Linked DNA regions of Oryctolagus cuniculus. The protein of the gene in region 1 purifies or fractionates together with the protein of each later gene. This does not show direct contact. Links are inferred from orthologs where the notes say so. Each region holds a gene or a part of one and is shown on either strand. Other genes may lie near its edges. The genes, in order: AP3B1 and AP3S1.

Region 1 (15,189 bases):
CCTCTGGAGGAGCAGTGGAGCTGTACCTTGGACTGTGTGCCTTGATTTCAAATTTCCGGATTCCAGAACTGCAACAGGATACATTTTGTGTTGCCTCAAACCATTAACCTTGAGGTCATTGTTGCTGAACTCATAGGAAACCAACATAGAAAGCCAGCTCTGTGTTCTGCCATAGGTAACTATTGCCTGCAGTGTTTACTGAAGGATACATTGTTTCCTAACTCATTGGAAATGACAACTTTGTCAGATTGTCAACACCCACATATAGCTGCATCTGTTTCTGTCCATTCCACCAATGAATTTCTTCACCTATATGAGTCAATACCAAACTTGTGGTTTTTTTTTTTTTTTTTTTTGACAGGCAGAGTGGACAGTGAGAGAGAGAGAGAGACAGAGAAAAAGGTCTTCCTTTGCCGTTGGTTCACCCTCCAATGGCTGCCGCAGCCGGCGTGCTGCGCTGATCCGAAGGCAGGAGCCAGGTGCTTCTCCTGGTCTCCCATGGGTTGCAGGGCCCAAGCACTTGGGCCATCCTCCACTACACTCCCGGGCCACAGCAGAGAGCTGGCCTGGAAGAGGGGCAACCGGGACAGAATCCGGCGTCCCGACCGGGACTAGAACCCGGTGTGCCGGCGCAGCAAGACGGAGGATTAGCTGAGTGAGCCGCGGCGCTGGCCACCAAACTTGTTTTTAAGATTGATTTTATTTATTTGAAAGGCAGAGTGACAAAGACAGAGAGAAAGATGGAGAGAGAGAGATTTTTTCACCTGCTAGTTTGTTCACTTCACAAATGACCTCAACAGTCAAGCCTGGGCCAGGCTGAAGCCAGGAGCCTGGAACTCCATACGGGACTCCCACATGGGTGATAGGAGCCCAAGTATGTGGGCCATCTTCTGCTGCTTTCCCAGGTGCATTAGCAGGGAGCAGGATCAGTAGCAGAGCAGCTGGGACTCGAATCAGTGCTCTGATAGTGGATGCTGGCATTGCAAATGGAAGCTTAATCTACAATATCCAGCTTTAACACCAAACGTATGCGTTATAATAACTCTATAGCACATGCAAATCGTGGCTGGGTAAGTCCTTCATCATTCCGCCTCCCCCAATTTCACTGTTACTGGCTGCCTCTGTTCTTCCAGATGAACTCGGAGATTTTGACTGAAAGTTGTGGGGAGCAATCCGGACTAGACTAAGTTACTCAAATTAGGACTTATTCTATGCATCTGCTCTCCCACAATATGGCGCTGGGAGAGAAGTAAACAGCTTCCGCACAGCTGCCTCCAGTTCAACTGATAAACTGTAGGACTTGCTCCTGATTGGAGGAGAGCAGCGTACTCGGCGTGTGGGCAGCCGAGTTGGGATTGGCGGAGGAGGACTATAAAGGAGGAGAGAGACGGCATGCATCGGGAACATCTATGGGGAACATCTAAGGGAACCCGTGCAGCCCCCGAGAGAACCGGCCGGCGGTGTGCCGCTCCCCTGCGGAAGTGGGGAATGTGGCCAGGGGGAACTGCCCTTCCACGGAGGTGGAAGGGATAGTAGCCAACCCGGGAAGAACCAGCAGCAAACCCGGGGAGGGCCGAGCAGACGAAAGAACAGCGCAGGGTCCTGTGTCGTTCCTCCACGAAGAGGGGGAGCGACATAATGGTGCCGTGACTCGGATAGGAAACGTGACTCGGATAGGAAACCTAGGACGGATATGAAACTTAGGAGGGAAGAAATGATTCGGATAGGAAACCTAGCTCGGATAGGAAACCTAGGACGGATATGAAACTTAGGAGGGAAGAAACGGGAAGAAGCAGGAAAATACCGGAGAGAGAGACTAGCAAACAGCCTAGGGAAAAGCCGGACGAAAAGGAGCCGGAAGAAGCTATTGAAAGCCTAGGCATAGACTCGGATACGGACTACGGGGGGAAGCTGGGAGAAATCTCTAAGGTCGAAAGCGAAAGTGAAAGCTAGAACAAACAGACTCGGACGCAGACTGTGGGGAGAGGCCAGGAGAAATGAGGGAGGAATATTGTTGGAGGAAAGTTTGGGGAAACATACCGGGTAGAGAAAAATGTTAGGGAAATTGAAGCCGCGGGGGGCAGGCCAAGGCGGACACGAAAGCCACTTTGGGATTCTCAAGTTAGCCCGGGAATAGGGGGCGAAAAGTTGAAACCAGAAGCTGAGACGTAAGCCAGATTGGGATCCGTCTGATTAGCCCGGGGAGCAAAGGACGGGAAGCCAAACCGTGGGGCGGAGACGTACGCTGGGTTGAATTCGCCAGGCTAGTCCGGGGAACTTGGATTGAATGCTAGTGGTGGAGACGCAAGCTACGCTGTGTTACTCGTGGAAGCCACCGCGTGCAGAGAGAGCACGGGGCGTGAATAGATAGGGAACGGGGCTGGCGTAGGCCGTGGTTCAGACGCGAAAGGGTTAAGCGTGGAGACCGCGGAGCGCGCAAAGCCAAGCCGCGCAAAGCCGGGAAGCTGCGCAGATGAAAGAGGCGCGGGCTGAAGCAGCTCAGCTGGGAAGCCGCCGAGAAGTAGCCTCGGGGCGGGCAGCGGGAAGCTGCGGGGATAAGAGAAACAGAAGTTTGGAAGTGGAGTGAGAGAAATGGGAATGTTGGCAGATAGAAGTAAAATGGGAGAAATAGGAATGCCCGGAGATAGAGAAATAGAGAGAAATAAGGCCTCCCCTCAACATGCCAATTAGAAGGCTTGGATTCGGTCTGCCTGATTAGTGAGGTGATGAGCACCTGGGCGGCTAGCCGCAGGTCACCGAAGACAGGCACGAATTAACATCAGTAAAGCTTCCCCACAATGCAACAATTAGGAGGCTTGGATTCGGTCTGCCTGATTTAAGGCGGTAAGCGCCAGCAAAGCTCGACCAGAGTATGAGCTGCAGGTCACCGAAGATAGGCACGAACCAACACTAATAAGTCTCCCCCACAATAAGGCAATGAGAAGGCTTGGATTCGGTTTGCCTGATAGGTTTTGTAAACACCTGCAGGCAGTTCTAGCAGAGCAGAGCATGCGCTGCAGGGCACCGAACACAGGCACGCATCAGCGCCTAAAAACCTCCTCACAACATGGCGAAGAGAGGACCCGGATTCGGTTTGCCTGATGGATAGGACTTGTAAGAGCCTGTGGCAACTCTAGCAAGTAGAGCAGAGTGTGCGCCGCGGGACACCGAAGACAGGCGCGTATCAACGCTAAAAAATAAAAAGAAAGGGGGATCTGTGGGGAGCAATCCGGACTAGACTAAGTTACTCAAATTAGGACTTATTCTATGCATCTGCTCTCCCACAATATGGCGCTGGGAGAGAAGTAAACAGCTTCCGCACAGCTGCCTCCAGTTCAACTGATAAACTGTAGGACTTGCTCCTGATTGGAGGAGAGCAGCGTACTCGGCGTGTGGGCAGCCGAGTTGGGATTGGCGGAGGAGGACTATAAAGGAGGAGAGAGACGGCATGCATCGGGAACATCTATGGGGAACATCTAAGGGAACCCGTGCAGCCCCCGAGAGAACCGGCCGGCGGTGTGCCGCTCCCCTGCGGAAGTGGGGAATGTGGCCAGGGGGAACTGCCCTTCCACGGAGGTGGAAGGGATAGTAGCCAACCCGGGAAGAACCAGCAGCAAACCCGGGGAGGGCCGAGCAGACGAAAGAACAGCGCAGGGTCCTGTGTCGTTCCTCCACGAAGAGGGGGAGCGACAGAAAGTAACAGTAAACATACAGATTCATTGAATGTTTCTTTTCAGAAACACTGAATCATTTTTTAGGTCTTTCCCTAATCCCTACCTTTTGGTAGAATGTTACAGATTTTTCTCAAGTTAAGTCTTAGGCATTTATTTTTCTGTGGAAGAAGACTCTTTTAGGATTATGTTTCTTTTTTTTAATTTTTATTTTATTTATTTATTTTTTTGACAGGCAGAGTGGACAGTGGGAGAGAGAGACAGAGAGAAAGGTCTTCCTTTGCCGCTGGTTCACCCTCCAATGGCCGCTACGGCCGGCGCACCGCACTGATCCGATGGCAGGAGCCAGGTGCTTCTCCTGGTCTCCCATGGGGTGCAGGGCCCAAGCACTTGGGCCATCCTCCACTGCACTCCCGGGCCACAGCAGAGAGCTGGCCTGGAAGAGGGGCAACCAGGACAGAATCTGGCGCCCCGACCGGGACTAGAACCCGGTGTGCTGGCGCCGCAAGGCAGAGGAATAGCCTAGTGAGCCGCGGCGCCGGCCCAGGATTATATTTCTAATAGATGCTAGGGTGTGTAGGAGAGCTGTTAGATTTTCCGGGTAGCAATCTGCTAAATCCACTTAGAGGCCTAATAGTTTTCTTTGAGATTTTCCGGTGGGACAATTATACACTCTATAAATATCAACTTCTTCTCATGGTTGATTTTCTCTTTCATTTTTCTTTTCTTATTGCATTGCTAGAATCTATGGAGCAGTATTAAATGGTAATTGTGCAATAGGCATATTTGTCCTTTTTTGACTTTAGTTGGAATGCTTTTCATGTTTCTCTGTGAGATAAGGTGTATGTTTTACTGTGAATATTTTGTGGAAGTATTTTTAACATAATATGTACAAAAACCCATGTATGTATACATAATAATGGTAAAATATAACAAGACATCCATACTTATGCTTCTGTATCTTCAGATTCTGCCAATACAGATTGAAAATATTAAATAAATTTTTTGTCATTATTCCCAAAGCACATATTAAAGCAATGATTTATATAACGTTTACATTGTATTAGGTGATATAAGCAATCAACAGGTTACTTAAAGTATAAGAGAGGATGTGCATGGGTAATATGTGAAAAACACACCATTTTATATGAGGGACATGAGTGTGTACAACTTTTGGTGGGGGGGGGGTCTCAACTAATCCCCTCCATGGACACCATGAATATATGTATTTACTCTTATTTCTCAGTTACTAGATACTTCGTTAAATTAGAAGAGCTGATGAAATATTATTAAATACATTTTCTTTTTTTTTAAAAAAGATTTTTATTTATTTATTTGAAAGGTAGAGTTTACAGACAGAAGGAGAGACGGAGAGAAAGCTCTTCCCTCCGTTGGTTCACTCCCAAAATGGTTGTAACAGCCGGAGCTCGCTGATCCGAAGCCAGGAGCCAGGTGCTTTTTCCCAGTCTCCCATGCAGGTACAGGAGCCCAAGGACTTGGGCCATCCTCTGCTGCTTTCCCAGGCGTATCAGCAGGGAGCTGGACTGGAAGTGGAGCAGCCGGGACTAGACCTGGCATCCATATGGGGTGCTGACGCAGCAGGTGGAGGATTAACCTACTGTGCCACGGCACTGGCCCCAACATTTCCAATATTTATTATGTTTTTAAAAAGATGAATTTATTTGAAAGGTGGAGTGAGAGAAGGAGAGTTAGATAGCCTACTACACCACGGCACTGGCCCCTTGCTTTTCATCTAGTGTTTGTTTAGTATTTAGTCTCTTAGTATATTTTTGTATTTTAAAAAAGTGAGGCTTAGGTATGAGCATGCTAATCCTACAAAATCAATTTGGAGGCGTTTTGTCTTTTCCTTTTCAAAAATCCAGTAATAGTTCAATGTAACAAAAACAGGAAACTCCTTATAGGTCCATTAGACCGCCTTGGTTGAGTGCCCTTTTAGCAGTAGAGTTTTAAAAATAATAATTTTTATTATTTATTTGAAAGGAAGAGAAAGATATCTCCCCACTTCTCCAATGTCTGCAACCCTCAGGGCTGGGCCAGATCAAAGCCAGCAGTGAGGCAGTTGATACGGACCTCCACTGTGGGTGGCAGGGAGCCTCCGCTGTAGCCATCCTGCTGTCTCCCAGGTGATGCACCCAGCGGGAATCTGGGACTCAAACCCACGCACTCCAGTATGCAACACAGGCATCCCAGGAAGCCCATTACTGAAGCCACGCGTCCACTTCTGGTGGGAGTTTGTTCTGCAGTGTTTTCCACTGAAATGGAACTGCTATTCAAGCGTCCCTAAAACAGGCAAGAAATCACCAGGACCCAGCCTCCAGCCTTAGCATGGCTAAAGGAACTCAGGGAATCCAGGCAGTGGTGCAACTGGTCCAGGAGAAGTCTCCAGTAACTGATGTCACACGATCAATATCAGTATCCACACCCTCTCACAAGGTCTCTTCAGAGGAATTCAGGCCGGGACTGGAGTGACTACCACCTTCATGTAGTCCCCAGACTCACGGAGGCCCACTCAGCCGCCCTAAACATTCCCGGAAAAGCCAGCATCAGGGAAGGTCACGGCCGGCCAGGAGCCTGGACGGGGCTGAACACGCACCCCTCAGCCTCAGTCTATGAGAAACGTCCCCGTTGACCTCGCGGGGAGCCCGGGAATTCGGCTGCGGCTGTCTGGCGTCTCCACGCTCTGCACATTGCAGATAGCGACCTCCTTCTTCCACTCACCCGTGTCGGCGACTGGCTTTCTGTGTGTGGGGCAAACGGACACAGGTCTGGAGGGTCTATTCCTACTCCTCCAACTAGGGTCGCAACGTGTTCTTGTTCTGCAACACATTCAGGTTTCCTGCAATGTTTTGAGTTGATTTTTATAACCTATACTCTGCTAGAAAAGGAGAAAAGGTGGGGCCGGTGCTGTGGCGTAGGTTAAGCCACCGTCTGCAATGCCGGCATCCCCTAAGGGCACTGGTTCGAGTCCCGGCTGCTCCACTTCCCATCGCGCTCCCTGCTAATGTGCCTGGGAAAGCAGCAGAGGGTGGCCTAAGTGTTTGCGCCCCTTCACCCTCGAGGAGACCCAAAAGGGGGAGGGAGGGAGGGAGGGAGAGAGAGAGAGAGAGAGAGAGAGAGAGACAGACCCTCCACCTGCTGGTTCACTCCCAAGATGGCCCCAATGGTCGTAGCTGAGCCCGCAGAACCCGGGATCCAGGAACTAGGACCTCGGACCTCGCGGCCACCGGGCCCAGCCGGCCCGCCCCGCAGCCTGCGCCCCGCCCCCGGCCCGCCCCGCAGCCTGCGCCCCGCCCCACAGCCTGCGCCCCGCCCCGCAGCCTGCGCCCCGCCCCCGGCCCGCCCCGCAGCCTGCGCCCCGCCCCACAGCCTGCGCCCCGCCCCTCAGCCTGCGCCCCGCCCCGCAGCCGGCGCCCGGAATCCGCCGCGCGCCCGCTCTGCGCATGCGCGGCCGCCGGCAGCCGTGACGAGCCCGGAAGCGCCCGCAGCCCGCCGCGCTCGGGGAGCCGCGGTCCGCGTCCTGCCGGCCGGAGCCCCTCGCGCGACCCCCGCGGCCCCGAGGCGTCGGCCGCCCGGCCCGCGGCCATGGCGAGCAACAGTCTTGCTTACAATGAGCAGGCGGGAGCGGGAGAGACGGCGGAGCTGGGGCAGGAGGCGGCCGCGACCATGTCCCCCTCCGGCGCCTTCGGCCTCTTCAGCAGCGACTTGAAGAAGTGAGGGGCAGGCGGGGGTGCGGGGCAGGCGTGGGTGCGGGACGCGGGGTGCGGGGGCGCGGGGGTGCGGGGCGCGGGGGTGCGGGGTGCGGGGGTGCGGGGGTGCGGGGCAGGCGTGGGTGCGGGGCGCGGGGGTGCGGGGTGCGGGGCGCGGGGGTGCGGGGGTGCGGCGTGCGGGGGTGCGGGGCAGGCGTGGGTGCGGGGCGCGGGGGTGCGGGGCGCGGGGGTGCGGGGCGCGGGGCGGTTGCGGGGCGCGGGGGTGCGGGGCAGGCGGGGGCGCGTGGGTGCGGGGCAGGCGGGGCGCGGGGGTGCGGGGCAGGCGGGGGTGCGGGGCGCGGGGGTGCGGGGCAGGCGTGGGTGCGGGGCGCGGGGGTGCGGGGCGCGGGGCGGTTGCGGGGCGCGGGGGTGCGGGGGTGCGGGGCAGGTGGGGTCGCGTGGGTGCGGGGCAGGCGTGGGTGCGGGGTGCGGGGCGCGGGGGTGCGGGGCAGGCGGGGGTACGGGGCGCGGGGCGGTTGCGGGGCGCCGGAGCGCGGCTGAGCTCGGTGCGGGCCGCCGGGGCGCCCTTCTGGCGCGGGTTAAACTCCGCTGCGGCGGGGGGCGCGCCCTGGGCTCGGTCGGGCCCGGCGGGGCTGCGCCTGCGACCTGTGCCGGACCCCTCGCCGGGGCGAGGAGGCGCTGCGGGCCGCCGCCGCGGCGTAACGTGCAAAGTGAGTTCAGGGGTCCGGACCCCCTCAGGTGGACCCCACCCCGAGTCAGAGACGCTGGGAGGAGTAACAGGGTTCGTTTTTCCTGCCGTGCACTGAGTAAAAGTTTATGTTTAATTGTCTTGGAAGGGCGCGGGGAGCCAGCGAGCTTGGGGAGAGGTCTTCCGTCTGCCGGCTCACTCCCCCCATGCCCTCAGCAGCCAGGCCTGGGCAGGCCGAAGCCGGGAGCTGAGCGCTCAGTGCAGGTCTGCCACGTAGGGGTCGCAGGGACCCGAGTGCTTGACCGTTGGCCGCCTCCCAGGGTGTCATTCTGCACTTAGAGATGGCAGGTTTTTTTTTTTTTTTTTTGGTAAGGTTTATTTTATTCTGAAAGAGTTACAGGGAGGAGGGAGGACAGAGAGAGACGGAGGGAGGAGAGAGAGATGGGGAAATAGCTCCTCTCTGCTTGTTCCCTGGTTGCAGCTGCCTCGCGGGGCAGTCTGAAGCAGAGCCAGGAGCTTCACCGAGGTCTCTCACGTGGCTGGCAGGGCCCAGCTGCTCGGGCCGCCTTCCTCCGCGCTCCTGAATGCATCAGCACTTGGGCCATCCTCCACTGCACTCCCGGGCCACAGCAGAGAGCTGGCCTGGAAGAGGGGCAACCGGGACAGAATCCGGCACCCCGACCGGGACTAGAACCCAGTGTGCCGGTGCTGCAGGTGGAGGATTAGCCTAGTGAGCCGCGGCGCCGGCCGTAGAGATCTTTACTTTTGAGAGCATTGTGGAGTATTGGAAAAGGCCCCAGGGCTAGTGTCAGAAGACCTGTATGTGAGTTATTGTTTTATGCTTGTGCTAGTATTTCCTTGTGCAAGTTGCTTGTTCTTTTCAAACTTTGGTTTCCACATTTCTGGCCCAGGTGTGATGGTTGCCTGGTCTGACGGTGTACTTGAAAGTAATTTCTGATCCAGAATGTTAACCAGCACTGTTGAGGAGAGTTGATGACATTTTGGGCAGGTGTTTGGCACGTGGAGGGAATGGAGAGTGCAGAGTGTGTAGAAAAAAGGAGAATTGCAAAAGAAAATGGTGTTGAGAGAGATTTGGAGATCGACATTTAGATTAGCAGATAATGTATAAACTTGGGAATGGATGCAGTGGCCCTGGGAGAACTTTTCTTGTTAGAGGAGAAGGCAGGTTAGACAAAATCCTAAGGAACACTGCATGTGAGATGTGAATGGAAGAAGAAGGAAAAGACTGAGCTCAGGGAGGTAGGAAACCAGAGGAAGCTTGTTGTTTTGAAGAAGGAAGCTAAGGGGAAAGTTAGAGGAGGCAGTGGTGGACTGTGTGGGGACTTGAACAGTGCAGGGAAGTAGAAGGAGTGTGCAAGAGAGCCCTTGGATTTAATTCAGAGGTTAGCAGCCAGTGGCTTCTTTGTAGTGTCCCTTGAAATACATAGAAAGGTGGCATTTTACTCTGCCAAAGGTGGAGTGTACTTTGCATTTGTTTAGATTCACCTCTTTGGACAGAGGACTCTGGGCTTTCCTGCAGTGGGTATGTTAAATCAATGTCTTTGCATTGCAGTGGTAAAACCAAATTTGTTTTTCTTTTAAAGTTGAATTTTATTTACTGTCAACTTAACAATATCAGCCATGAAAATTAGATCACATTACTGCTTTAGCCTTTAATAGTGTTTCTCAGTGGCACACATTGGAAGATAACTAGTATCTGTGGTCGGTACAGTTAAGCAACTCTTATCTCCACCACTTTTTCTATCTTTGAAGCAAGTATGTTGAAGTGAAGTTGACTGAGATCAACCCATGTAGAGTGATAGTCTTAAAATATAATTTACTGGGGCCAGTGCTCTGGAGTAGTGGGTATAGCTTGGTGTGGCATCAGCATCTCATATGGGCACTGGTTTGTGTCCCGGCTGCTCCACTTCCGGTCCAGTTCCCTGCTAATGTTCCTGGAAAAGCAGCGAAGATGGCCCAAGTGCTTGGGTCCTTGTCACCCAGGTAGGAGACCCAGAAGAAGCTACTGGCTTCAGATTGGCCCAGCTCCAGCTGTTGTGGCCATCTGGGGAGTGAACCAGCAGATAGAAGATCTCTCTGTCTTTCCCTCTCTGTAACTCTGCCTTTCAAGTAAATAAATAAATCTTTTTAAAAATATAATTTACTAAAATAAATTATATTTACATATATAACTTACTAAAAATAGAATCAATGACATCTGGACCAGTTCCAGATGTTATTAATTTATAAATATTGAGGGGCTAGCGCCATGGAATAGCAGGGCTAGGCCTCTGCCTGTGATGCTGGCTTCCCATGTGGGTGCCGGTTTGTGTCCTGGCTACTCCTCTTCACATGTGTGCTTGTGGCCTGGGCGAACAGTGGAAGATGGCCTGAGTGCTTGTGGCCCTGCACCCAGTTACGAGACCCCGAGGAGGCTCCTGGCTTCGGCTCTGGCCTTTGCAGCCATTTGGGGAGTGAACCAGCGGGTGGAGGACCTTTCTCTGTCTCTTCCTCTCTCTGTGGTTCTGCCTCTCAAATAAATAAATAAAATCTTAAAAACATTGCAAGTATTGATACTAACATTGTTATTTTTAAACATTAAAAAGAGAATTGTTTCAGAGGCAGAGATGGAGTAGAGAGAAACAGAGAGCTGCTGCCATCCCATCTGCTGCTTCACTGGCCAAGTGCCCTCTGCTGAGACCGTGCCAGGCCGGAACCAGGAGCCGGGAACTCAGTCCAGCCCTCCTGTGTGGACGGCAAGGGCCCAGCTATCACCTGCTGCCTCTCAGGATGCACGTCAGCAGGAAACTGGAATTTGGAGTGGAGCCATGATGTGAACCCGGATACTATCACGTGGGACGGGGTGTTCCGACAGGCATCTTAACCACTAGGCCTAAAGTCCACCCTTTACCATTGTTTTTGAAATATCTCAAAGAGTCATTGTGTATCAGTATGTTTTTTGTGATTTTTTTGTTTTTATTAATACTAATTAAAAAATTCATTGAAGGGGAGAGACAGAGAAAGGAAGTTCTTAATCACTGATGTATAACAGCTGGGGCTGGGCCAGGGCTCAGTGTGGCAGCCAGGACCACAGTTCAGGTCTCCCACTTGAGTGACAGAATCCCAAACACCAGACCGTCACTGCTGCTGCTTAGGGTCAGCGCAGCGGAAAGCCGAGTCGGGAGCCAGAGATTGAACCCCCGCGCTCTGCTGTGGGGTGTGGTTTAATTAGGGTCTTCATTATATTTCTGGTGGTTTTTTCAGTTTTTAAAGATTTATTTATTTATTTGAAAGGCAGAGTTATATATAGAGAGAAATCTTTAATCTGCTGGTTCACTCCCCAAGTGGCTGCAAGTTTATGTTCACTAGATCTAGGTCTGCACAGTATATTTGCTTGCCATAGATGTAAGTTGGATTCCACTTTGTCATGTACAAAGAGCACTTTACAGGTGGGCAATTTCAGTGTTTCATTATCTTTCACTGAGTAGTGCTGCGTTTGTTACAAGAGGGTTGTTAACAGGAGAGGAAGTGGAGCGTTGGTACCTGCAGTATGTCCCTACCTAGATGAACTGAAGTGGTCCCAGCACATTTATATGATTTTATAATTCTCGGCTTTAGGTGTGTGCAACCCCTACAACTTGTTTCTCACTTTGAGTAGAGTATTCAATAAATTGTGAGGTCTTGAATACTTCTTTATAAAATAGGTGTTGTATTAGATTTACTGTAGGCCACTGTACGTGCTCTGGGCATATTTAAGGTAGATGCAGCTAAGCTAAGCTGTGATGTTTGGTTAGTTGGGTGTATTTAATGTGCTGTGATATTTTCCACTTCCCACGAGTTTACTGGGGTATAACCCCATCATAAGTTGAGGAGCATCTGTAGCTGTTTTGTCTTCATGTAAATAGGACTGTTAGTTTCAAAGGCCCGGATACTCAAAAGTTAAGGACTGCCATTTCCTGTGCAGTAAGGTTCCACGTATAATGTACTTCTTGCCATGTGCTTCAAATAAGATTTCATTACATTGAGCAAAAATTTGATGAAATACTGCCTGTAAGCAGTGTCCTACTTTCCATCAAATAGTAGAAGTGTTCCATTTTATTTACTTTCCTTGCATTTCTTCTTGGAGGAAGGTCATTTCTGGTTTATGCATTTTATCTTAAATACTCAGCTAAGTAAATACTCATTTCTTGATAAAGGATTTGTAATTTTTTGAAATCACTGAAATTTAGAAATCTGAAATAATTAAATTTCAAACCTTATGATTAAATCACAAATGTAAGACAATTTAAAAAAAATATTACTCATTTGAAAGGCTGAATTACAGAGACAGAGATATTGATCTTCAGTCTGCTGGTTCACTCCCCAAATGGCCTCAATGGCCAGAGCTGGGCAAACCCGAAGTCAGGAGCCAGGTACTTCTTCTGGGTCTCCCATGGGGTGCAGGGCCCAAGCACTTCGTCATTCTCTGCTGCTTTCCTAGGCACATTAGCAGGGAGTTGGATCGGAAGAGGAGCATCTGGTACATGAACCGGCACTCATAGGATGCTGGAGTCACAAGTGGTGGGTTTACCTGCTGCGCTGTAGTGCCAGTCCCGAGATGTGTTAGTTTTTTTTTTTTTTTTTTTTTTGACAGGCAGGGTGGACAGTGAGAGAGAGACAGAGAGAAAGGTCTTCCTTTGCCGTTGGTTCACCCTCCAATGGCCGCTGCGGCCGGCGCACCGCGCTGATCCGATGGCAGGAGCTAGGAGCCAGGTGCTTTTCCTGGTCTCCCATGGGGTGCAGGGCCCAAGCACTTGGGCCATCTTCTGCTTTCCCAGGCCACAGCAGAGAGCTGGACTGGAAGTGGGCAACCGGGACAGAATCCGGCGCCCCGACCGGGACTAGAACCCGGTGTGCCGGCACCGCAAGGCGGAGGATTAGCCTAGTGAGCTGCAGCGCCAGCCTGAGATGTGTTAGTTTTAAAAAACATTCAGGATTTAGCAGTTGCTAACACTGAATGATTAAACAAAAAAGGCAGACAGCAGTTGGTTGAAATGTTCTTTTTCACTGCTTACAGAACGATGAATATATTGTAGTGAAATAATTGGACAGCATTGCATTTGTGTTTAAAATGAACTGCTGACAAAAACAAATTGGCTGAGGTCCAAATTTAAAATGTGAAGTAAAGAGAAGAAAGTAGAACAGTGGAGAAGGAAGTGATTCTCCTGTATTTCATGCTTTTATGAGTAACACTGCTTTCTGTGTTTAGGGGAGACTTCCTCAGCGTATCAGCAGGAAAGGTTTTGTAGATCTACAGTGAACAGTTTCTAGTCAGTGAGATCATTTTTGTTTGCTGACAGAAACTGTCCTGCTTCAAAGGTCACCATCCTTAGTCTTTTTTTTTTTTTTTTTTAAGATTTATTGTTTGTTTATTGAAGGGCAGATTTGGGGGCGGGGGAGAGAGAGATAGAGATCTTTCATCTGCTGGTTCACTCCCCAAGTAGCTGCAGTGGCCTGGGGCTGGGCCAGGCCAAAACAAGGAGCCCAGAGCTTCTTCTGGGTCTCAGGTGGGTGCGGGGGCCCAAGCACTTGGGCCATCTCTGCTGCTTCCCCAGGTGCATCAGCAGGGAGCTGCATAGGAAGTGGAGTAGTCAGAACTTGAACCGGTGCCCGTATTAGATGATGACGCTGCAGACGGAGGTTTAACCTGCTGTGTTACAGCACTGGCCCCCTCTTCATCTTTAGTTGAGAGTGGGCTTGTTTCAAAGTCAGAGTTGCAGAGCTGAATCTCCCAGCTTCACGGTCATAATAGATTTTCTCCAAGTTTCTCAATACCTTGGTTAAGAATGTGGAAAAACGGATTGGTGTGTGGTGCAGTTGGTTAAGCTGCTGCCTGTGATGCCAGTATCCCATATGAGCTCCATTTTGACTTCTGATCTAGCTTCCTGGTGTTGCACCTAGGAAGGAGCTGAACATGGCTCAAGTCCTTGGGCCCTTGTACCCACGTGAGACCTTGATGGAATTCCAGGTTCCTGGCTTCAGTGTGGCCTAGTCCTAGCCTCTGCAGCTGTTTGGGGAGTGAACCAGCGGATATAAGATCTCTTGCTTTGTCTCTCCCTCTCTGTCTTCAACTCTGCCTTTCACATAAATAAATAAATCTTTTTAAAAAATGTGGAAGTACAGGGAGGGGAGGAAATAACAGAGTATGATGGCAGACAGGTAAGTAGTAGAGTGGGGATGGAGTAAAGCCCGATTGTGTAGGGCCTTGTAAATCGTTGTAAAAAACTTTGAGTTTTTTTTTTTTTTTTTTTTTTTGACAGGCAGAGTGGACAGTGAGAGAGAGAGACAGAGAGAAAGCTCTTCCTTTTGCCGTTGGTTCACCCTCCAATGGCCGCCACGGCCGGCGCGCTGTGGCTGGCGCACCGCGCTGATCCGATGGCAGGAGCCAGGAGCCAGGTGCTTTTCCTGGTCTCCCATGGGGTGCAGGGCCCAAGCACTTGGGCCATCCTCCACTGCACTCCCTGGCCACAGCAGAGAGCTGGCCTGGAAGAGGGGCAACCGGGACAGAATCCGGCGCCCTGACCGGGACTAGAACCCAGTGTGCCGGCGCCGCTAGGCGGAGGATTAGCCTAGTGAGCCGCGGCGCCGGCCTCTACTGGAGAGTTTTAAGCAGAATGGGCGTTTGGAAGGCAGTCAGTAACTCTTCAGTTGTATGCTAAATATGTTCCAGTAATTTTTAAAAAATATGGAAATAATTTATATTTTTCTTGATATTAGGGAGTAAGCATCAGATTGCTCTCGTGGAGTTTATATTCTAGTGAGAGGAAGACAGGCGATGAACAACTCAATATGCGATCATGTTGTGACAAGGAATGTTATGGAGAAAGAGTGGGTAGAGTCGAGGAGGCTAGGGAATTGGGATGCAGGTTAGTTTAGAGTTTGAAATAGCAGGGTTAGGAAAAGATCTTTAAGAGCTTGTTAAGGGCTGGCGCCGGGGCTCACTAGACTAATCCTCCGCCTTGCGGCGCCGGCACACCGGGTTCTAGTCCCAGTCGGGGCGCCGGATTCTGTCCCAGTTGCCCCTCTTCCAGGCCAGCTCTCTGCTGTGGCCCGGGAGTGCAGT
Region 2 (15,089 bases), on another chromosome or scaffold:
ACAGAGCTTCTCTTTGCTAGACAAGCCTTTGGGAAAACAAGACAGTTTCACAGTTCTTCTCTAGCAGTCTCCAGGAGGATCTACCTCAAACTCAAATTTCTTTGAAGTCTTAGAGCTTTAAATATGACAAATCTGTATTTGACCCTATAATTATATTTGAACATACCTGTTTATTGTGAAAGTGTCATTTCCTCACCACCACCAATGTTCAAAGAAACCCGAACACCTGCGGAGGACGGAGCCACGGTGACAGCTGGTGCAGGGCCAAGCCGGGCTCCTCCTCACCAGCTTCAGCACCGGGCGTGGAGCGAGGGGCACTGGAGCAGCTCCATTTGCTCCCCAGCCTCTGTTTCTCTTTTGTTATTAGACATTTTCAGCATCTAAAGCCTCAGTCTGTTCCTTCTCATATTAGACACTCACTCAAAATGTATTACTTTTCTGCTTGCTAGCTTCTCGTTACTCTGAACACTAACTGGAACTCAAACCGTGTGTCCTCCTGATTTCAAAAACATTAAAACATTCTCGACAAAGAAAACTTCCTTTTCACACGCAGCTTACAGCTCACCTATACCACATTCACTTTTTTGCACATTCCAGAAAGAAAACATCTCAGTGTATCCCCTCATGATAATCTTAATCAATACCGTCTGTGGTAACTAATTTTTGCTGAGTATTTTTTACCTTTCAATAGAAATACTGTATATATCAAGTAGAAAAACTCTAGGTTTCTATAATTATAGATTTAATTCTCAAACACACCAATGTGAGCAGCACTCAGATTAAAAGAAACAAAATCTACGACTACATTTTATTTTCCTAGCGAATTCTTCTCCCAATTAACCTTTGAGCTTTATTGTCAGTTACTTTACATAGAGTGCCGAACACGAGGCATTAAACCATTCATTCAACAATTATCTAATGAGAACTTGTTATCTGTAAGGTGTCAGACTATACACTAGGATAAATCAGCAAAAGAAACAAAAATCCTGCACCTCATAGATCCAACATTCTTATAAGGGCAAATGATAATACATAAGATGAACTAAATTAACTACATAGTATATTAGATGGTGATAAGTGCTATGGAGGAAATACTAGGGTGAAAGAGTTAGAAAATATCCAAGAGAAGGAGCATTTTCAAGGCAAGGTGGAGAACACTGTTGGATGGACGAACGCTGCAGGTGCAGGATCAGCATGGACCAAGGCTCTGAGGCACACGTGTGCTGGGTATACCCGAGGAACGGCAAGGAGGCTAAGCAAAGGGCACAAGAGAAGATAAGTAACGGGTGTGGCCAACGACAGTCAAGACCGCATGGGGCTTCTCAGGGATCTTTTGTAAGGAATTCTGCTTTTACTCTGAGTGAAAACGGAAGCCACTCAAGAGTTCAGAACGGAAAAATGTAAGATGCGGCACATTTTAACAGCATCACTCCAGCCACTGCACTGAGACAGACCAAAGAGAAAAAATACAGCACAAGGAGAGACCAGCCAAGAAATGGCTGCAGTAACCAGGCCAAGAGTTGACGGTGGCCATGAACAGGGCAGCAGCAACAGGAGAGAGGGTACAAAAGTGGTTAGAAGGGGCTGGTGCTGTGGCATAGTGGGTAAAGCTGCCGTCTACAGTGCCAGCATCCCGTATGGACGCCGGTTTGAGAGCTGGCTACTCCACTTCCATTCCAGCTCTCTGCTAACGCGCCTGGGAAAAGAAGCAAAAGATGGCTCAAGAGCTTGGCCCCTGCACCTACATGGGAGACCCGGAAGAAGCTCCTGGCTCCTGGCTTGGCTATGGCCCAGTTCCGGCCATTGCGACCATTTGGAGAGTGAACAAAGGATGGAAGGTCTCTCTCTGTTCCTCCCCCCCCCCCCCCATAACTCTGCCTTTCAAATAAATGAATAAATCCTTAAAAAAAAGTGGTCAGATGCCAAATATCCAACAGGAAGTGCTGAGGCAGCAGACGTGGTGGGCAGAGAACGAGAGGCAAGGTCACATAGCAGGCACCAGCAGGTTCCACCGCAGAAGTGAAGCTGTCTTTAGCCGACGTGGGAGGCACAGGTCTTCGCTCAGGACACATTAAGTTCTAGGTCTGTATCAGACACCCAAGTGGAGACGCCCACGAATCAATGGGGTGACCTGGTGAGGAGCTAAGGGGAAAGGTCTGAGCTGAGGACTCCAGTCTGCATCTTTAGTGTACAGATGACACTTGGGTCAGAGCACGGAGATGAATGGAGTCAAAAACAAGGCAGCTGAGCGAGGATGGAACCCGGAGGCGTGATCATTTACAGGTAGGACAGATCAGCGGGAAAAATGCAGTCACTAAAGAGATGGGACAGAAGCCAGGCAGGGAAGTTCTAGAAGCCAAGTGAAGACGGCAGAGAGGAGAGGTCAACAATCCTTATCAAACACAGGAGGCTGACAGGACCCTGGACTCATGAAGAGAAGGGCGGAAAGCCTGCCTGGAATGGACTGGGGAGAGAACACCAGAACAAAGTTTCAGATAGCTCTACACGTTCTACAAAAGCGTTCTGTAAAGGAAGGGAGAGAAACGAGGCGTGGCTGCAGAGGGAAGCACAGACGGGATTTTTTTTTTAAGGTGGGAAACTACTGTAGGCTGCTTGGAATGATCTAGAAGACAGGAAAAAAAATGATGACACAAAAGAAAGAAGGGCTGCTGCAGCAATGAGGAAGCAGAAACGAACGTGTGAGCGCACAGGCGGCCTGAGCTAGGAGCACGTGAGTGCACCCTCAGAGCACAGATGCACCCATGGGGGCCGTGCACAGTCCCCAGATCTCAGAGACACAGATGCACCCATGGGGGCCGTGCAAAGTCCCCAGATCTCAGAGACACAGATGCACCCATGGGGGCCGTTAGACAGTCTCTCCAGATCTCAGAGCACAAATGCACCCATGGGGGCCGTGCAAAGTCTCTCCAGATCTCAGAGACACGGATGCACCCATGGGGGCCATGCAGTCTCCAGATCTCAGAGACATGGATGCACCCATGGGGGCCGTGCAAAGTCCCCAGACCTCAGAGACACAGATGCACCCATGGGGGCCGTGCAAAGTCCCCAGATCTCAGAGACACAGATGCACCCATGGGGGCCGTGCAAAGTCTCTCCAGATCTCAGGGCACAGATGCACCCATGGGGGCCGTGGACAGTCTCTCCAGATTGATTTGTTTCTCCAGGAAGCAAGCAAGGTGCTAAGTGCTAAAGGACTGAGACAATGTATGCATAAGTCATCTAGGCAGATGGAAAGTACATGGACCAGGGAAATACGACTTCCAGGTACCATTAAGGACCGGCTAAGGTAGAGATCATGAATTTAAAGTGAAAGCAGCAAGTATGGTGACAGTTTCTTCCACTGGTATCTTCGTATGTGCCGGCACAGGCAAGGAGATAAGCGTATACAAGGTCACAATCATGAATCACAAGTGACGATGGCATTTAAGCCGGAAAAGCAAAGTCAGACATCAGGAAAGACAAGACATTCACTTGGAAACTGTGGATCCCAACAGGTCCAAAAATCTGTTGGGAGTAATAGAAAGAATAATACAAAGAATAATAATAGTAATAGTAATAATAATAATAATAGTAATAGAAAGTAATAATAGTAATAGAGAGAATAATTGTCACTCCCCCTCTTCGCGGAGGAAAGACACAGGACCCTGCGCTGTTCTTTTGTCTGCTCGGCCCTCCCCGGGTTTGCTGCTGGTTCTTCCCGGGTTGGCTACCGACCCTTCCACCTCCGTGGAGGGGCAGGCCCCCCTGCCACTTTCCCCACTTCCGCAGGGGAGCGGCACACCGCCGGCCGGCTCTCTCGGGGGCTGCACAGGTGCTTCTCAGGTGTTCCCTGGTGCATGTTGTCTCTCTCCTCCTTTATAGTCCTCTTCCACCAATCCCAACTCTGCTACCCACACGCCGAGTACGCTGCTCTCCTCCAATCAGGAGCAGGATCAGCTCCTGCAGGTCATCACTCAAGTTGGCGAGAGGCAGCTGTGTAGTTGTTACTCCCTTCTCAGCGCCATATTGTGGGAGAGCAGATGCATAGAATAAGTCTTAATTCCAGTAACAGTCTAGTCCGAGTTGCTCCCCACAAATAATACAAAAAGAAGTGGTACACAAAGGAAGGAAGGTGTGAAGATAAGAATAGGGAGGCAACTCAGTTGGATTAAAAGCACGGTGTGGAAATGAGCAGTGAGAAGGGGTAGAGAGCAAAACTCACAGGAGAGGAGATGCAGGCCTAAAAACGTCAGGATAGAGAGAATTACATACATCGACGATGAAATCACCAAGAATTCCAACAGGGCAGTGAATGTCGGTAAACTAAGAGCCAAAGTCCAGTGGGCGACAATTCTCCACGGGTGGGGTATTCCTGCACAGACTGTGAGCAGAGGCATGGTGGTCTCTGCTCTGGGCTCTCCTTGCAAGCACACTATGGATAGGCTTACTTTCCCCCAGGAAGCAAAGACAGTGTACTGTAATGTAAATTTGAAATGTTATCTCAAAAACCAGTAAAGTGAAGAAAGAAAGGGAGAGGGAGGAGAGTAGGAGAGACAGAGTGGGAGGGGTGAGGGAGGAGGGGAATAGCATTATAATCCTAGAATTGCATCTGCAAACTACACTGAATCTGCCAAAAACTACAAATTTAAAAAAATTAAAATCTTAAAAAAAAAAAAAAAGAAACAGTGCTAATTATAGAAGAGTTCAATTCTCTAAGGTCAGGGTTCCTCACTCATAACTCAACCCACAGTGTGTGCCCCTCTTCAAATGCTTGTACTTTGGCTCATGTGCTATTTTTTTATTTACTGTGGCTAATGCTTACGTTGCTAATCATAAAGGTCAAGTTTTCGGCTTCCAAGCTGGATAAGATTTCCTGACGAAACCGCCAAAGGATCGAAGGTAGAGAGAGAACCACAAGCAGATGGGTAGGAGTTAGAGCTGACAACATGAGACAAAATGTGGAGATGTTTCAGGAGACAACCCGTTCTGGAAAAACCAGTGAAAACCAAAAAGAACAAGAGGGCAAAGAGCTACTTCTTGAGAGTGCCGGAAGTGGTGTAACAGAGAAGGCAGGATTTAACGTGGATCAAAGTGGAGCAGCATGGAAGAGGCTAAGGACAAGGAGGAGTCTGCTCATCACAGCCCTGGAGTTCCAGGACGTCACGAAAGGTTTTCAGGAAACACGAAGAAAGAGAAGGGAACAGATGGAATTAGTCATAACTGGTCTAAATCAGATTAAATTCGTCTACTTTTTTTTTTTTTGACAGAGTTAGACAGTGAGAGAGACAGAGAGAAAAAGGTCTCTCTCCCATTGGTTCACCCCCCAAATGGCTGCTACGGCCGGCACTGCGCCGATCCGAAGCCAGGAGCCAGGAGCTTCATCCAGGTCTCCCATGCGAGTGCAGGGCCCAAGCACTTGGGCCATCCTCCACTGCCCTCCCGGGCCACAGCAGAGAGCTGGACTGGAAGAGGGGCAACCGGGACTAGACTCCGGCGCCCATATGGGGTGCCGTCGCCACAGGAGGAGGATTAACCAAGTGAGCCACAGCGCCGGCCCCCATCTACTTGTTCTACATCCCCTGTCCCTCTTTGATCCACCCCGTATCTACTGTGGACACTTTCTTACCAAACAAAACATCACTTTAGAAAATTTAGAAAATGTAAGTTTTTAAAAATATAAATGCCAAACTGTTATTTAAGACAGTAAGAGGCAAATGTTAACTTACTTGAATTAGATCTAAAATGCCAAGTTCACTTTCTGAAGAATCCACACAGAAGACAAAATATAACGTTGCATAATGTCTATAAATCAGTTTGTTGTCAGATCCTCCAATTAATCTAAATGACAAAACAAAACAAGTGAAATGTTATAGGGAACAAAACACAGAACATTTTCATTAGCTCAAGCAAACTGACAATGTGTTTAAAAATCTTTTATTAACCAAACATAACATTTAGTGGCAAAGCATTCAAGAGAACTTACTTCTGAGACTAAGCAAATTAAGACAGCTATTTTCTTTAGAGACAAAGTAAAAAGCTTAATTTTAGTTCACTCATTCGTTAAACTATTCAGTGATTAATTCTATGTGTCAAGCACTGACGATGGATACAGAGCAACTAACAAGAAAATTGTCAGTGGAAGGTGCCACACAGAGAACCCAAGCAGGGCGAGGCCTCCAGAGGGGCTGGCCTCCTCAGCCGGGAGGTGAGGGAGATGAGGAGAGTGCCGTGGGCCTCAGGGATTCAGAGAAGAGCATGTCAGCGCCAGGTGCAACTAACAAAAGGGCACTGCAGCGAGAAGGAGTAGAAGAAAAGGCAGGCCAGCAGACAAGGAGAGATTAGTGACAGTGAGGTCAGAAGAAGCAGAGATTAGGACAGAGGGCGTCTGCAAGTGCTTACTAGATTTAACTCCACAGGTCACAGTAAGTTACACAGCTTAAGACTGATTATGAACTAGGAAAAAAAAAGAATGAAAGTTCTTAAATTTGGGACAGATTTACCATCTAGGTCGCCTACAAAAACATATGCTGTTTTGAGTACAAATGCAAGAGAATTAAGTTATTACTCAGTTCTTCCATCAAATACTTTTATTTATATTGACTGGAATTTAAATATAGTTAAGCTTTCACACTTTTTAAGTTTATGAGCTTGCCTTCTCAAAAGACCCCTACACACTAACAATTTAGAAAGTAACGTTAAATGTTGTCAAAGCTAATCAAACATTCATATGGAATTAGACATCATTTCTCATTTGAGTCAAGTTAACCCCTGAGCTCCCACCTTCTCTGTGTATGCACTACATCTGTGTCCCCTAACAAGAAACCAAAGTTCCTACTATGTTAGATACTTTTTTGGGAAAGGTATTTAACTTAAAAGTATACACATGCACTTCAAAGATTCTGAAATCATGTTTATGGGCTATGATTGCAACTGTTTCTCTAAAGAGATACAAAGAGTACAGACAGCGCTTTCACAAACAGCAATTCAGCAACGACCTTGAGTTTTTCCTCTAAAAGGAGGAAACCTGGCCTCTGAAAGCTGTTCCAACACAGCCATTAACATTAACAGAAGACAGCAAAAATACTACCACAGCAAGGGTACCTTTTCCCTAACACAGACTCTAGGATGCTGCAAGCATGGATAAAGTAATTGGGTCCCTGGAGTGAATTCCTGGATCCTAGCTTCAGCCCAGCCCAGCCTAGCCCCAGCCACTGTAAGTCTTTGAGGAGAAAACCAGTGGATCTTTTGTCTCTCAAATAAAATTTTAAAAAGTATTTAAGAATTTTTATCTTGAAATTATAGTATAACACTACCCCAAACTCTTGTACGGAATGTAAGTCACCATATAAAACCATAAACTTCAGTCCAAATAGTTTATCTTAGTGGAGAAAACTGAATTTCAAGAATTAAAGTGACTGGACCAGGGACACAAACTTGATGGTGATAACACTGAGACTGACTAAGATGCAATATCTATTTTCTACTTTTCAAAAGGTTGGAGGGCAGGTGTTTGCCTGCGATGGAATCCTGCCTTGCTACTGATCCAGTTTCCTGATAATGTGCATACCCGGGAGGCAACAGATAAGGACCCACGTTCTTGGGTTCCTGCCCTCCAAGTACCAAGAGGGAGTTCCTGGCTTCCAGCTTTGGCCTGGCCAGGCGGGTGAGGGTACCCAGGGCACTGGGTCAGCAGACAGAGGAACTCTCTCTCCTTGCTTTCTTCCTCTCCCTCAGTCACTCTGCCTTTCAAAAAACTAAAAAAAAAAAACTAAAAAAAATAAAATAAAATAAAAAGTTGGGAAAGAATAATCATAACTCCAGGCCCTGATTTCTGGTTTAAACAGTACTCTAGCTAGCTCCATCTTGCTTTTCTACTGCATGCAATATACTGTGCTAGGAGACACATTTCCTGGGAGGGAAGAAATTAAGAGGCTGGGATGACAAGAAGTGATAGTAAAGGCAAACACTATTAAACCCGAACAGACACTTAAGAGAATTAGGTACAAGTGAAATTCAAAGTCAGAAGCAGGTACATTTGTCTCGACTATTAAAACAGAAGCCTGCATTGGTAACAAAATTTATACCTATTTTAAGTGTGAACCATACATTTAAGTGCAGTAGGATAGAACTTAAGAAACACAACGAACTACACATGATAAAAAGTAACTTAAAGTCAGGTAAAAATGGATTCCCTGCTATCTGACCTAGTTTTCATAACATGCACCATACACAAAATACAGAAAAATACAAATTTCTCTAATCTGTGACTATTTACAAATCTCAGCTGAAGTTTATTTTTAAATATCAATAAGGAACTATCTTATTAAGTATATTAATTATATAAAAGAAGAGGCAACATTTATGAAAACATTTAGAATTAAACTACTTTCATGGAATCCATTAATTCAGAAGTATTTACTTATATATTTTGCAAGCTAATTATAAGTAATGGAAATGTTAATAGAAAAAATCTTTTAGCTGAATTCTCATCTGTACATAGTGCAAAGACAGAAACGTTAGAAGAATAAACTTCAGGGCCAGCGCCAAGGCTCACTAGGCTAATCCTCCACCTGCAGAGCCGGCACACTGGGTTCTAGTCCCGGTTGGGGCGCTGGTTCTGTCCCGGTTGCTCCTCTTCCAGGCCAGCTCTCTGCTGTGGACCGGGAAGGCAGTGGAGGATGGCCCAAGTGTTTGGGCCCTGCACCCCATGGGAGACCAGGAGAAGCACCTGGCTCCTGCCATCGGATCGGCGCAGCACGCCAGCCGTAGCGGCCATTTGGGGGGTGAACCAACGGAAGGAAGACCTTTCTCTCTGTCTCTCTCTCTTTCACTGTCTAACTCTGCCTGTCAAAAATAAATAAATAAACCTCAGTTTTACTTGTAATAATAAAAGATACAATCCAAATTTTTATGGACATTTACCCTAAGGAATACTCTTTAGTCTTAAAAAAGAGTAAGGGCTGCCTTAGACGTACTCACAGGCAGAACTTGTTAAAACATTACACAGGGGCAGGCACTTGGCACCACGGTTAAAGCAATGCTTGGGACACCTGTGTCCTGCATCAGAGCGTGTGGTGACAGCTCCAGCTCTGCTCCGAGTTCCAGCTGCCTGCTAGCGCACACCATGGAGGGCAGCAGTGGAACTATCAGGAGCTCAAGTACCTGGGTTCCTGTCACTCATGCTGGGAGACTTAGACAGAATTCCTGGCTCCTGGCTTTGGCCTAGGCCAGCTCTGGCTGCTGCAGGCATTTGGGGAGTGAATCAGAAGATGGGAGATCTCTCTCCCTGCCTTTCAAAAAATAAAATGATTATTTTTACAAATCTAAGTGTTAAGATGAAGTAAACCAAACAACAACAAGTGAGCATACACAGTGTGATCTCAGAAGTAAAAAGGTTACACTTCCAAATGCTGGTCGGTGCAAAATCTGTTTTCTGGAAGGAAATGTAAAACCAGGACGAAGAACAAAGGCTGGAAGAGGGAGACCCTTATTGAATATTTTACTCTTCCCTGGAACATTTGAATGTTTCCAATATGAACATATTAATTTTAAATAAAATGCCCTTATAAGATTTTTAAAAAGAAAAACAGACTGCACAGCTTCAAAAGAAATTCTTTAAGTTAGATTAATAGCTAACATGGGTAGCAATTATCTCACCTAATTCAACTAATCAAAACTAGAAAACGTTTGCACTGAACTGCTGTAACAGTACACACTTTAATTATCCAGTCCAAAAATCAGAAGCGTCTATGAAATGCTTTACTTACAATCCTCCTTCCAGGAAATTACAGACGTTCTCATCCCTCTTAGAGACCAAGTGGAAGGTCTCCCTGATGATCTGCTGCTGTGTGTCTTCACTCTGAGGGAGAACAAGTCACATACATTAGGACTGAGTGTACAGGTTTAACAGAACTTTAACAATTTTAAAAATAACAGGGATTAATCTCTGGGAAATCCATCTAAGTGAGTGAGGGGTCCTCAGAGAACCAACTTAAAACCCAACACTGTTAATGAAAAAAGGGGGATATGCTTTGACGTTTACCACTATGATAAAAATAACTGAGTTCTAAATTGCAAAAACCAACAAGGAAAAAAAACACATATATTACATTTACTAGAAAAAGGGAAACTATATATTAACTAGTCAAAGCCCATTGTTTCACAACACAGTAAACTGAAACAGAGGCAGAGTTAGAAATAATTCATGTAGCTAATCTATATTTGAATGGAAGAATGATCACAAAGTGTAGCGTATCCAACTGAACATAAGCATTATTAAACACAGACTGAAGTACGAGGCCATCCATCTTACCCATCTTTATACAAGCACAACCTAAACCAAGAACTGGTTCAATAAGTATTTACTAGAACAACCAAACAATTCATATTCCAGCAAAAAAGGTCAACTTCACAAACAATGCAACAGAAAGCTGAGCAAACTCTTCACCAGAGGGGAAACATCATGGCCTGTAAACAAAGGAAGAGTCGCTGAATCTCATCAGCAGGAACAACGAGGAGACGGCTCCACCACACCGGACTGGTCAGTGGCAATATCAGCTGTGGACAAAGGTGTGGCACCAAGCACACCCACCCCCTAGCACTGTGCGGGCCAGTGGTCACCATCACTTGGGGAAAAACTTTATTAACCAGCACTTTCGCTCCTAAACCATACGAAACCAGGATTTCTGAAGGTCAACAACTACTGAGTACCGGCAATGACACACACACAGAGTAAGCTGTGCACCCTCAGACCAGCGAGACACGGGAGAATGTCCACAGAAGTACTGCTGCGACAGCAAGCTGCAAACACCCAAGACAGCCCGCAGTCACAGAACGGATGTTGTGATACACTCACACAGGGAAGCCTTCTAAGCTAATTACACCCTTAAACGTGTACAATTCTCAAAAACCTGATGTGGAGAAAAGGAACAACTGCATTGTGCATATCCAAAAAGGATAATAACCAGAAAAAAATTTAAAATAATAATAACTGGAAAAATAATACCCAGTAAAAATTTAATCAAGTATGTATAGGATTTCTATAATGAAAAACTAGAAAACACTTTGAAAGAAATTAAAAAGGATGCCAAATTCATTTCATAAGGGCAAGTGTAACATACCAAACTAGACAAGGTAGTACCAGAAATTAAAATTATAGGCCAATGTCACCAATGAAGAGATACAATTTTTAGAATTTATTTATTTGAAAAGCAGGTGAAAGATAGACACACACACACACACACACAGACAAAGCGAAGGATGACTTATTACTGGTTGGCCTCCCCAATGCCCACAAGAGCCAGAACCGGGCCAGGCTGAAGCTAGGAATTCTTTTTATTTTTTTTTTATTTTTTTTTTTTTTTATTTATTTTTTTTTTTTTGACAGGCAGAGTGGACAGTGAGAGAGAGAGACAGAGAGAAAGGTCTTCCTTTGCCGTTGGTTCACCCTCCAATGGCTGCCGCGGCCGGCGCGCTGCGGCCGGCGCACCGCGCTGATCCGATGGCAGGAGCCAGGAGCCAGGTGCTTTTCCTGGTCTCCCATGGGGTGCAGGGCCCAAGCACCTGGGCCATCCTCCACTGCACTCCCTGGCCACAGCAGAGGGCTGGCCTGGAAGAGGGGCAACCGGGACAGAATCCGGCGCCCCGACCGGGACTAGAACCCGGTGTGCCGGCGCCGCTAGGCGGAGGATTAGCCTATTGAGCCGCGGCGCCGGCCCTGAAGCTAGGAATTCAATATGGATGCAGGTACCCAATTTCTTGGTTACCACCTGCTGTCTCCAGGGTGTGCATTAACTGTAAGCTAGAAAGGACAGCAATGTCAGGACTCAAACCCAGGCACGTGGATATAGGATGTGGGAATCCCACATAGAGGTTTAACCACTGTGCCAAACTCCCACTCCCAGAATTTATTTTTCAAAAAGTTAACACATCATGACTGAAGTGAGTTGATTCTAGTAATGTCACACTGTTTTAATATTTAAAAACTGGCCGGCACCGCGGCCCAATAGGCTAATCCTCCGCCTGTGGGGCCAGCACACTGGGTTCTAGTCCCGGTTGGGGCGCCGGACTCTGTCCCGGTTGCTCCTCTTCCAGTCCAGCTCTCTACTGTGGCCTGGGAAGGCAGTGGAGGATGGCCCAAGTGCTTGGGCCCTGCACCCGCATGGGAGACCAGGAGGAAGCACCTGGCTCCCGGCTTTGGATCAGCGCAGCGCCGGCCGAAGCGGCCATTTGGGGAGTGAAGCAACGGAAGGAAGACCTTTCTCTCTGTCTCTCTCTCTCTCTCACTGTCTAACTCTGCCTGTCAAAAAAAAAAAAAAATTTAAAAAAGCTCAAAAAACATGCAAAAAAACAATAAAACTGTTTAGCGCCAAAAATCAAGTAGTGAAACAAGAACAAGAGAATGATTTAAAGACTTCAGACGGGGAGCTGTGTCACTGGGTGTAGCATCCGAGCAGCTGGCGCCGGCCCTGACTCCAGCTTTCTAATGCACCTCCTGGGAGGCAGTGGTGATGGCTCACGCGACTGCAATGCTGCCCCTCCAGGTTGGGGACCTGAACAGCTTCGCTGCTCTCAGCTCTGGCTCAGCCCACGCCACCACAAGCATCTGGAAGTCACCAGCTTTGAGGATGCTAGCGCTTCTCAGGTCTCTCTAGTCCACTTTAAAAATAACCTCGGACGGTGGTTTTACCTGAGCGAAGGAGGGGCAGAACAGAAAGGAGGATACAGAGAGACTTCAAAGGCCATTAGCAGTTTTCTTCATAAGGGGAAGTGGACACAGCAGTTAGTCAGTATTTCCTGTAGCTTAGGAGAACCCACTCAGCATTTCCTAACAACACTGCTAGGGAAGGGGGACACAAAGACAGCTGCCTCTGCCTTCCTACGTGTGCCCCACGTCCCCGCCCACCTCCCCCTCTCAGATGCTGTCCTTGGTTATTATCTTCCTGGTGGTTTCCTGCTTTAACCTCCTGCCTGAAAGAAACGGACACTCTTCTGAGCGGCTCAAGATTTCCACTTTTAAATAGTCATCTCCACCAGTATTCTACGCAATTATATAAAAATGCTCATAATAAAGACTAAAAACATTCCATTTTTCCTAAAACTCATTGTCACTGTATTTCTAATCTCAGTTAACGGCAGCAGCATCCATCACAGAAAACTCTTGATGACTCCTTTTCTTTTACTTCCCTCACTGATTCAGTCGCCATTAATTCTATGTCAAGAAGAACAAAGCTGGATTCAAAAACCACAGTCTCAATTCAGATTTTCATTCTTAATCTTACTTAAAATACTAGAACCACCAGCAAAATACTGCCACTGTCACCTGACTCCCTGTTCCCCACTGTCCAGCACATGTCAGCAGAATTCCTTAAGAACACGGAGTATTTGTCACCCGCCTTCTTAAATACCTCCAGATTCCATCTGACCTAACATACACGCTCCCTACCATGCCATAAGACAGCCTCCAAAACCCAATCCAGACCTCCCTTTCCCTGACAAACACTGCTCAGCCACTCTGACCTGGGAGAATACTCACGCCCACCCCTCTCACCCCCTCAGTCGCTACTCCCCCCGAAACACCCTCCGTCCTCCCTTCCTCAGCAACCACCTTCGAACACACAGCTCGAGTAGCCTCACTGTCAAAACATTTCTGACCCAGTCAGGAAACACCGGGGCCTTCTACTGCCTCAGGACTGTTTCCACTACCATTACACACTTACAACAATATGTTCCACATTTCCTTGTTAAGCACCTGAATTCTAAGCTTTGTATTGGAAATGCTCAGCAGAGTGGTTGGAATAGAGAGGCCAACACAGGTGCGCTGGGTGCACACGTCTGTAGGCTGGCCGTCAGGACCCACGTTCACGTAGACCGTCCGATACCAGTTTCCCTACACGAAAGGCAGTAAAGACAAGGAGTACGATGGCGCAGCTGAAGCACGACTTCTGTTCCATGAAGACAGCAGACCGCACGCCTCCACTTGTGCTGCTCAGTAAGCTCCGGCTCAGACCCAGCACAGGTCTCTGCTGTTCAGCCACAAGCCCACCATGGTGAGGAAGACAAGGAAAACGAAGCTGGCAAGTGGCCAAATGAACGTAAAGTATCAGGCAGACCTCAGAAGATTTAAACCGAACAGGAAGAAATCCAAGAACTCACTCAATTGGTGTCAGAAAACAGCCAAGGGCTCAGCACCTGGTGCTTTTAGGTACTTGTGCAAGTGAGAGTAGAGAGAGGTGTAAAATAACGAGTTCTGGCCCGTGGCACCGCAGGAATGGCTCTGTGGAACGCAGGAGGCACTGGCCAGCACGGCTCTAAACCCCATCCTGTGGGACTCTGCCACTGTGGGACCGCACAGCAGGGGGTCGTGATGGCGGTCTTCATCCTGGAAATCAGCGAACACGACAGACCAGAGCTGCTTCCTCTATGAGGCAGTAGGTAAAGCAACCCACTTACTGCACGGTGACCACAGGCGGCACTCAGTAGCGCTGTGTGTTTCAGAACAGCTGGAAGAATACGTTTAATGTAAGGGGCTGGATGAGAGTATTTCAGGCATGGAAAGCCAAGACACTGTGGCAAAAAAATGACCTAAATCAAAGATCTCTGTGAGTGAGATCCCAGTGGACAGAAGGAGCCATCAAAGGAGGGACCTTTCTCTGAAGGGAGGAGAGAACTTCCACTTTGATTATGACCTTGTCTAAATAAGGTCAGAGTTTGTGAACTCAAGAGGCTTCCATAGCCTTGGCAACTCATGACAAGAGCCTCGGGTGATTACTGACGCCGTAAACAAGAGTGTCAATTGTCAGATCAACAACTGTGCACTTGCTCCCCATGTAGGATCTCCGTCCTTAATGTGTTGTACTATGAGAATTAACGGTAAAACTAGTCTTCAAACAGTTACTTTATACTTTGTGTGTCTGTGTGGGTGCAAACTGTTGAAATCGTCACTTAGTTGATCTTTTGTATATAAAGATAATTAAAAACGAATCTCAATAAAGAATGGGATGGAAAAGGGAGTAGGAGATGGGATGGGTTGCGGGTAGGAGGGTGGTTACGGGGGGGCGGGGGGACCACTATAATCCAAAAGTTGTACT

What was found.
Region 2: the proteins of AP3B1 (region 1) and AP3S1 fractionate together in Homo sapiens (co-fractionation; 5 studies listed by BioGRID and IntAct, counting the BioPlex papers as one, with this or other methods). This does not show direct contact. The link is inferred for Oryctolagus cuniculus from reciprocal best matches to the Homo sapiens genes AP3B1 and AP3S1.

What each region holds. Positions count from the first base shown.
Region 1 is NC_091445.1:2,316,335-2,331,523, reverse strand, and holds the start of AP3B1 (AP-3 complex subunit beta-1), read left to right. Parts: upstream 1-7,144; 5' UTR 7,145-7,274; coding exon 7,275-7,402; intron 7,403-8,090; exon of another isoform or gene 8,091-8,109; intron 8,110-15,189. UniProt on the Homo sapiens protein: Subunit of non-clathrin- and clathrin-associated adaptor protein complex 3 (AP-3) that plays a role in protein sorting in the late-Golgi/trans-Golgi network (TGN) and/or endosomes.
Region 2 is NC_091437.1:6,068,703-6,083,791, reverse strand, and holds part of AP3S1 (AP-3 complex subunit sigma-1), read right to left. Parts: intron 9,860-15,089; coding exon 9,768-9,859; intron 5,839-9,767; coding exon 5,727-5,838; intron 1-5,726. UniProt on the Homo sapiens protein: Part of the AP-3 complex, an adaptor-related complex which is not clathrin-associated. The complex is associated with the Golgi region as well as more peripheral structures.